2 linked regions of the Xenopus tropicalis genome follow. The protein of the gene in region 1 interacts with the protein of each later gene in a biochemical or structural test. Links are inferred from orthologs where the notes say so. Each region holds a gene or a part of one and is shown in the gene's direction. Other genes may lie near its edges. The genes, in order: trim72 and ube2h.

Evidence for each region.
Region 2: the proteins of trim72 (region 1) and ube2h form a complex in vitro, tested with the Homo sapiens proteins (2 studies listed by BioGRID). The link is inferred for Xenopus tropicalis from reciprocal best matches to the Homo sapiens genes TRIM72 and UBE2H.

What each region holds. Positions count from the first base shown.
Region 1 is NC_030685.2:5,465,989-5,469,763, reverse strand, and holds part of trim72 (tripartite motif-containing protein 72), read left to right. Parts: intron 1-1,283; 5' UTR 1,284-1,284; coding exon 1,285-1,680; intron 1,681-1,932; coding exon 1,933-2,028; intron 2,029-2,699; coding exon 2,700-2,930; intron 2,931-3,339; coding exon 3,340-3,362; intron 3,363-3,775. UniProt on the Homo sapiens protein: Muscle-specific E3 ubiquitin-protein ligase that plays a central role in cell membrane repair by nucleating the assembly of the repair machinery at injury sites.
Region 2 is NC_030679.2:86,976,127-86,980,391, forward strand, and holds the start of ube2h (ubiquitin-conjugating enzyme E2 H), read left to right. Parts: upstream 1-1,176; 5' UTR 1,177-1,422; coding exon 1,423-1,475; intron 1,476-4,265. UniProt on the Homo sapiens protein: Accepts ubiquitin from the E1 complex and catalyzes its covalent attachment to other proteins. E2 ubiquitin conjugating enzyme that transfers ubiquitin to MAEA, a core component of the CTLH E3 ubiquitin-protein ligase complex.

The sequences.
Region 1 (3,775 bases):
GTTCCCTTCAAATTTGGATGTAAGAATAATGTTGCGGGATGCAGAGACAGGGGCGCTGGAATGTTGTTATTTTTCAGTAGCAGTTGGTATTTTGTACCCCAAGACCCTCGTTCCAGCAGGAAGCTGAGGGGGCAGATTGGTGAGGACAGGAACTCGTGCAGCCCCGAAGCCCAATGTCAGGCAGCAGCTGAGCCCAAGCCAGTGCAGCTGCTCTATAGCCCCACCTCAGCCCCCACAGCCCCTTGGGAATCCCACATCCCCCTCTGACCTTGGGACTCTCCCATGGCCCAGACAGTAAGTGGCACAATTCTGCCTACACGGGGGGCAGAGTACACCAGAAGGGGCAATTGTTATGGGTTCGTTATCAGCCCCCAAGCCTATTCTGTATCTATAGATTTCCCTAATGTTCCTTCTCTCTCTCCCCCTTCTCTCTGTCCGGTAACTTTAGCCTCCCTGGCAGCTCATGACATTCTCTGGGCTTCTATTTAAAGCGAAACCACTCCCTTATAGTCAGTCTGAGCAACGCTCTGATAATGGGACAGAGAACAGAGATCATTCTCTAACCCTTTAGATAGAAATAACTGCTCTGTGGCCCTTTATATATATATAGTAAAGCCATGCTCTAGGCCAGGGGTCCCCAACCTTTCTTACTCAGAAGCCACAGTCAAATGTAAAAAGACTTGGGGAGCAACACAAGCACCATAAAAGTTCATGGAGGTGCCAAATAAGGGCTGTGATTGGCTATTAGGCAGCCTCTATGCACCCTATCAGCTTACAGGGGCTTTATTTGGTAGGAAATCTTGTTTTTATTCAACCAAAACTTGCCCCCAAGTCAGGAATTCAAAAATAACTCCCTGGTTTGGCGGCACTGAGAGCAACACCCAAGGGGTTGGGGAGCAACATGTTGCCCCCCGAGTCACTGGTCGGGGATCCCTGCTGTAGACATAATACTTTGGGGGTGATACTCAGCAAGTCTGTATGGAGAAAAGCAATGCCCTATAGCCCCCCAGTTAGGGGTTGGGAAAGCAATGTCCAACCCTCCTGATTATCCCAGAAGAAAGTCATGCTTCTTGATCCAAGCTCACGTGTCCAGTATCAGTGAAGATCTGAAAGCGACCCTTGCTGATTGCTTGTTACTTTGCAGATCTGCAGAAACCAGATTGGCTACTGAGTGTGACTCTTTCCCCGGTGCTTGAGGGAATTAGGGGACTAAACCATAGGGATGTGAAGTTTCTGGATTTATAAGTCTTTCAGCAATGGTTTTGTCCATTTGTGCCCCTCAGCATGTCGACTCCGCAGCTGATGCAAGGAATGCAGAAGGACCTCACGTGTCCGCTGTGTCTGGAGTTGTTCCGAGCCCCTGTCACACCTGAGTGTGGGCACACCTTCTGCCAAGGCTGCTTGACTGGGGCCCCCAAGAACCAAGACCAAAATGGATCAACGCCTTGCCCAACTTGCCAGACCCCCTCCCGCCCCGAGACCCTTCAGATCAACCGTCAGCTGGAACACCTTGTCCAAAGCTTCAAGCAGGTCCCAAAAGGCCACTGTCTGGAGCACCTGGACCCCCTGAGTGTCTACTGTGAGCAAGACAAGGAGCTTATCTGTGGGGTGTGCGCCTCGCTCAGCAAGCACAAGGGGCACAATATCATCACAGCCGCTGAGGCCTACGCCAAGCTGAAGGTAAAGCGGAATGTGCTTAGAAACACACTTTTTCAGCTTTGCTATATGAGCCATACAATAGTAGGATTGGGATTAGGTGACCCTAATATCTGTGTTATATTAATAGCCAAACACACATTTCCCTTCTCATTTCATGCCATTCAGCTCCATGTAGAGTAATTGGTGCCAGCCTTACACTATGCTGTGTTTATTATATATTACTATATTGACGTATATGAAATCTAACTTTGTTCCATCTCGTTCCTCACACAGAGGCAGCTGCCCCAGCAACAAGTTATCCTGCAGGAGGCGCGACTAAAGAAAGAGAAGACGGTGGCTGTGTTAGACAGACAGGTGGCTGAAGTACAGGTAAGTGGCCTCCATGCTTTACAAACCCAGTGGCCCCTTTTCCTACTTATACTACCAGCAACCCTTCCACTTATTCTCAGATCCCTACTAGTCCCAGCTATAGACCTTATTGGCCTTTTCTTACATCAACAAGTTACCCTACTCCAGTTAAGGACCCAACCCATATTCCAACTTCAGTTCCACATGTTTAACTAATCTACTCCTCTACCAATGACCTCCAGTTCCACATGTTTAACTAATCTACTCCTCTACCAATGACCTTCAGTTCCACATGTTTAACTAATCTACTCCTCTACCAATGACCTCTAGTTCCACATGTTTAACTAATCTACTCCTCTACCAATGACCTTCAGTTCCACATGTTTAACTAATCTACTCCTCTACCAATGACCAGCGTGGATCCCACTGAGACTGTCCCAGAGAGTTACCCTCTTTACTACTCTATTGTACCCTACTTTCTCCCAACATCTCTTCCCCATAGGGCTAACCCTAATCTGCAAGCTCCCATAACCCCCAACCTTTCACCAGGATATTGTACTTAATGCAATCCCATTTCTACGTAGAGTTTGCTCCATCTATTGATTCAGTCAGGGTTTATTATGAGGATATGGGACAGTTGTATTCCCTTGGATACCGAGAATCATCTCCACTACTCCCTTCCCTCCCCACAGGACACAGTGTCTCGCTTTAAGGGCAATGTGAAGCATCAGCTCAATGCCATGCGTTCCTACCTGAGCATAATGGAAGCCTCGCTGAGCAAGGAAGCCGACAATGCCGAACGTACGGCCACAGAGGCTCTGCTTGTAGAAAGGAAGACTATGGGGCATTACCTGGATCAGCTCCGGCAGATGGATGGAGTTCTGAAGGATGTGGAAAGCCAGGAGCAAACTGAATTTCTCAGGGTGAGCCACTCAGTAATGCAGTGAGGCCAAATGGAAGCCCAGTTAGCCTACATGGGGGTGTAAACCCAAAAATAACATCTAGCATAGTAATAAAACTACCTGTACCATTGAAACAATGCTCAAGCCATGACTGTATTACCCACAATGCCTTGCAACTTTCCTTTAGTGGGTGTGTTATTCACAGTATTGTAGGAACTGGAGTAGTGACGGAAGGGGTCGTGACTGCTGCAATATTGAGTAGTGCAGATAGTCAGGAGCAGCAGTGCAGAGAATTGCAAGGGACAGGCAGCTGCTTCCAATAGCAGTCACACTTAGTAAATGTGTAATTCTTGCATATTGTCATTTAAATATATACTGATAAGCAGGAAGAAGTTAAAAATTGACTTTAACGGATTTCTTTTTGTTTCAGAAATACTGTGTGGTGGCAGCAAGGTAATTTCCCATGTCCCTTATAGTATGCGTTAGTCCTTTTCCCTTCCCCTGAGGCTAAAATCTTAGTGACTATCCCTGGGGTAATTCATAATAACCATATATTGCATGTCGGGGATGTTACTAACCCAATCCTTCCTTCCTCTGCCCAATCGACATTACTTTCCCCTTCAGTCAAGCAAAATAAACAAATTAATCTAATCCTTATTACTTCCCATTCTCAGCCTACTGCTATAATCCATAGGCAATCACCAGGAATGGGTACAGGGCCAAGTAGAAGGGGTGGAGCCTGATACAAGAGCAGTCATTGGTCACATTCCCTCTGAAGGCCCACAAACCATCTCTTCCCACTGCTACTTTCCTATTATTAATTATTAACATTTATTTATAAAGCGCCAACATATTCCACAGCGCTG
Region 2 (4,265 bases), on another chromosome or scaffold:
TATAACTGTAAACTGATACAAAGGGTTTGCCCAGTAACAGTGCAAATCAGGAAGAGGTAGGGAATTAAAGCCATAGGGGAGCTTAACCCTATGGGTCCCTACATAATTATAAACCAACATCCATTAAGAATATAAAGACTTAATCGTTTTAATACATGTTCGGTGATGCAAACCCATTAGGTTTATATTTTGGGTGCCTGATATTCAGGTGTGTTTTCAGGGGTGGGGCTTAACATTAAATCAGCCACAAAGTACAGGGAGGGGAATACTGGGCTGTTTTACTACCACTGAGGGGTGCAAAACAGGGAGAAAGATCCTTGTGAGTTAATATGAGTGCACATTTGTAAAACTGTCAAAATGAATAAATAATGTTATATTAAAATATTTTACATTTTTGCAAATAAATGCTCACCATGGAACCATGTCTACTTGTAATGCTGTGTGCGCACTGGAGATATATATAAATATATGTGTGTGTGTGTGTGTGTGTGTGTGTGTGTGTATATATATATATATATATATACATAGATAGATAGCTCCAGCGCATACAAAGCATTACAAGCAGACACAGTTATTACCAGCCCCCAATACTACTAACAAAGAAAACCGATACTCCCAGCAATTCATGTTTCTAGAACGTTACACCATATGCAGCGTTACACATGTTATTTGTCAATCACAGCCCTTCATCTACGTTGCAGGATGTCAGCATAAAAGCACCGAGCAGGTTGGCAACAGCTAAAGCTCAGACATTACTATTGCTGTGACACGTCAAACTTCACTTGTACTGTGTACATTTTTGGACATCCTCCCTCGCCCCCTCCCAAAAAAGAAAAAAAAAATCCAGTATCCCTTTCACTCGCAACCTATACTTAGTCTCCCTATCTCACGTATGTCTAATATCATATTAGGGAGACATAAAGACTACAACTCCCAGAAGTCTATGCACTAAACCGTATATATTCGCCAGTGGGCGCGGCTAAATAAAAGATTGACAATCTGATTACCGGCCCTTATATAGCGGTCGGGTGGTTTCAACAACCCACAGCGAGGCTTAGACCGCATGTCGATTGCTCCGCCTTCTGCGGTGTGGCTCCACCTCTCTTTTCTGTTTTTTAAGTCTTCCTCCGCGGCCGGCGCGTCACTATCTGTGAGGTCACGTGACTGAGACGTTTAGTCGGTTATACTACTTTTTATGCTAAGGCACTCTCCGGTATAAGAAGGCGGCGACAGTGTCTGGAAGCTGGGTTTGGGGGGCAACCTAAGGCTAATCTAGGTTAGGCCCCCGCCGTATTTATTAAGGGCAACCGGACAAACAAGGCCCGGAGGAGGGAGGCGAATCCGCCGTCAGTTCTCCCAGTCAATTGCTTACAGTCCTGAGTGCTTTGCTGCCGAAGAGTCCCCCGGGGGGGAGCTGCAGACATGTCATCTCCCAGCCCGGGAAAGAGGCGGATGGACACCGATGTAGTTAAACTGTATCCTTCCTGACGACAAATTATTGGGGTATAGGTTACATATACTATAAGTGGGTGCTTGACAGTCATTTGTCAGGTACACTCAGTATGTAACTCTGGGGCCCATGTTTTGGATGGATATGGAGCATTGAAATGGGGCAAAACAATGTTCACACTATTCTGCCCCTTCTAGATACATGTAAGTATCTTAATTGTGTAGTGCCATTACTGTGCTTATCCGTGTTCCTTGCCTAGAAGGTAGTAAAGGGGCATATCCTTGTATAAAGAGATCTTTGTACATCAGCTATTAACAGAAACATAAAATAAAGTGACTTACATAAGGAAAAGCATCCCTATATTTCTCTGAAACAAAGAATGCCACATATAGGCACAGTTGCTACTAAGATATACTGTCTTTGATGAGAATGATCTATTTTGATTAAATCCTTTGTTATTGATCTGTTGGCAGGCATGTCTTTCCTAACCCACAGGCCCTCCAGCTGTTCTTGAGCTGGTGGCAGTTGAAGCCTGTTGGGCTATATGAGTTTCAGCTGAAGGGCCACTGGTCAGCTGTGTTTTTTTTTTTTATATAATAAAATAATGATAAATGAATTAAGAAAAGGTGTATTGTATTTGTAACTCAGTAGTTCACATATAACTAAAGTATCATTGTGTAGTTTGTTTTGTACAACTCTAATAGGCCTGTAGGAATTTAGGTATATAGATACGTGTGTGTATTTTCAGTGTCAGTACAGTTAAGGCCTCACACAGGGAGGAGGGGGTGCAGACAAGGAGGATTTTGTTGTTTGTGTCTAGTTAGACAGGGAAAAGATGATGTTATTTTTCGTTTTGTTTTATTTGTGTAACAACAAATTACCAATTCCCCCCTGTCACTGGTCAAGGTTATTTACAACAGGAATGCTTAACCTGTTTAGTTAAATCCTAACTCCTAGCACCCACTGACAGCCTTAGGCTGTTTGGGGATTTTATGGTGATACTGGAATATGTAGTAGAATAACACAGGCTGTGGGATGCATTTTGGGCAAGCCTGTACTCAATAATCATTCTGTTTCTTTGCACCTATTGAGCTTTAACAAACAAGTGGGTTTTTCATTAGACTGCAAATAATTTTCATGGGGGCATTGTTCATGGAACATCTCTGTACTAAGTAAGAGCTTACGCAAGCATTTGTGTACCCCAGTCCTGTTTATGTGCCTAGTCAAAACAAAGGGATCTTTGCAATCTTTTTCTACTTGTCGTTTTTATTGTAAGAGAACAGACAAAAGACTGCAGTCTTAAAGGTTTCATGCTGCCTTATGCTTCCATAAATAGAGAATGGTAGGCACAGGCAGCCAGCAGCTTTTTAACATTTGCTACAATGGCCCTAATTGAAGTGAATGCCATGGTTTTTACCAGCATTTATTTGTTGCAGGACATTAAATACTTTGGTCTGAGCGCAGGTGACTTAAAGGCAGGGTAATGTATGTATTTTATAAAGTTGGGAACATCATCTGTTGTGTCTGTTTTAATCTGACAGGTTTTGTATAGCTGCATTAAAGGAACACCTACAATCCTGATCTCCTGATTGGAGATGTCAGGTCTGCATTGCAGGCCTTTAGCATACAAGGGGTTAACTGGCTAAAACCCTGGAGACAGATTTTTTTTTTTTACAGGAATACATTTCTTTCAGCCTATAAGTATTTAACAATTATTTAGATACAGTTAAAGTAACCCTCATGCTGACAATGTTATGTTGTGTGTTTTAGGTCCCATAACAATATATAGGTTAACAAGTAAAATGTATAAATGTCCTAGCAACTGATCGGACTGTTGGGTTCCAGTGGTATTAAGGGGGTTGTTAGGGGAAAGCCTTCATAGCACAGCTGAGCTCTTCTGTTTTTCTTCTCCTCCCTGTTTTTTGCGTTTGTTTTTGTCCCATAAGTTCCCTCCTAGCCCATGTAATTTCCTTGTGTAGGGTGGGACACTAGGGGATTTTGTTGTGTGGTTATGACATTAACGCTCAGACATGAGTAGTGAAAGGGAGTGTTGTTTGAGGGGTGGGTGGGAGCAGAGGGCAGGTTAATGGGCACCCCGCATCCACTCTGCTTCTTTGTTATTACTGTAACTAAAGTTTGGTAGGAATGTCAGAAAGCCCAATGCCTGTTCTGTAAACCCAGAGGCCCACAAAATCTAGAGGGCCACAAGTGGCACTGCATTTAAGTGTACCACTGAAACTATACTGGCAATCTGTGTAACAGGCCATTTATATAGGTGTACGCTTTTTTATTGCTCTCAGTTTGTCTTTATGTGTGGTTAAAAATATATTTTTCCTAGTACAAAACAATCTTGCATTTACCTTACGTTCACCCTGACCTTTTGCTTTCATCCTTTATTGGGCTGTCTTAGAGTTAACCAGCTCAATTATACATGTTTGAGAACTAATAATAAAAATGGGGGGTGGGGAATGTAACCTATTGTATACAATTCCAAAACAGCATATCAGTCATAACACTGTGTTTTGGTTTTTTTTTTGTGAGGCTAAGGCATTCTGCCAAAATAAATCATAGCTGTTCCTAGCCGTATAGCAGAAGGCCTATTGTACTTTTTTTTTTTTTTTAAGAAGAAAGTGTCCTATATCTAGAGTATGTGTAAAGTTGAAAGAGATTAGAAAAAGACCCTTCCCCCTCTCCCTTAACTTCCTTATTAAACTGTTGCATATTACTAGAGTGGAGCAGGAGTGCTGAGCTGCTTGTTTTGTCAGATTTCTGCCATGTGATTGGCTGCCCTGTTACTACCCGGAAGAAGGGAGAG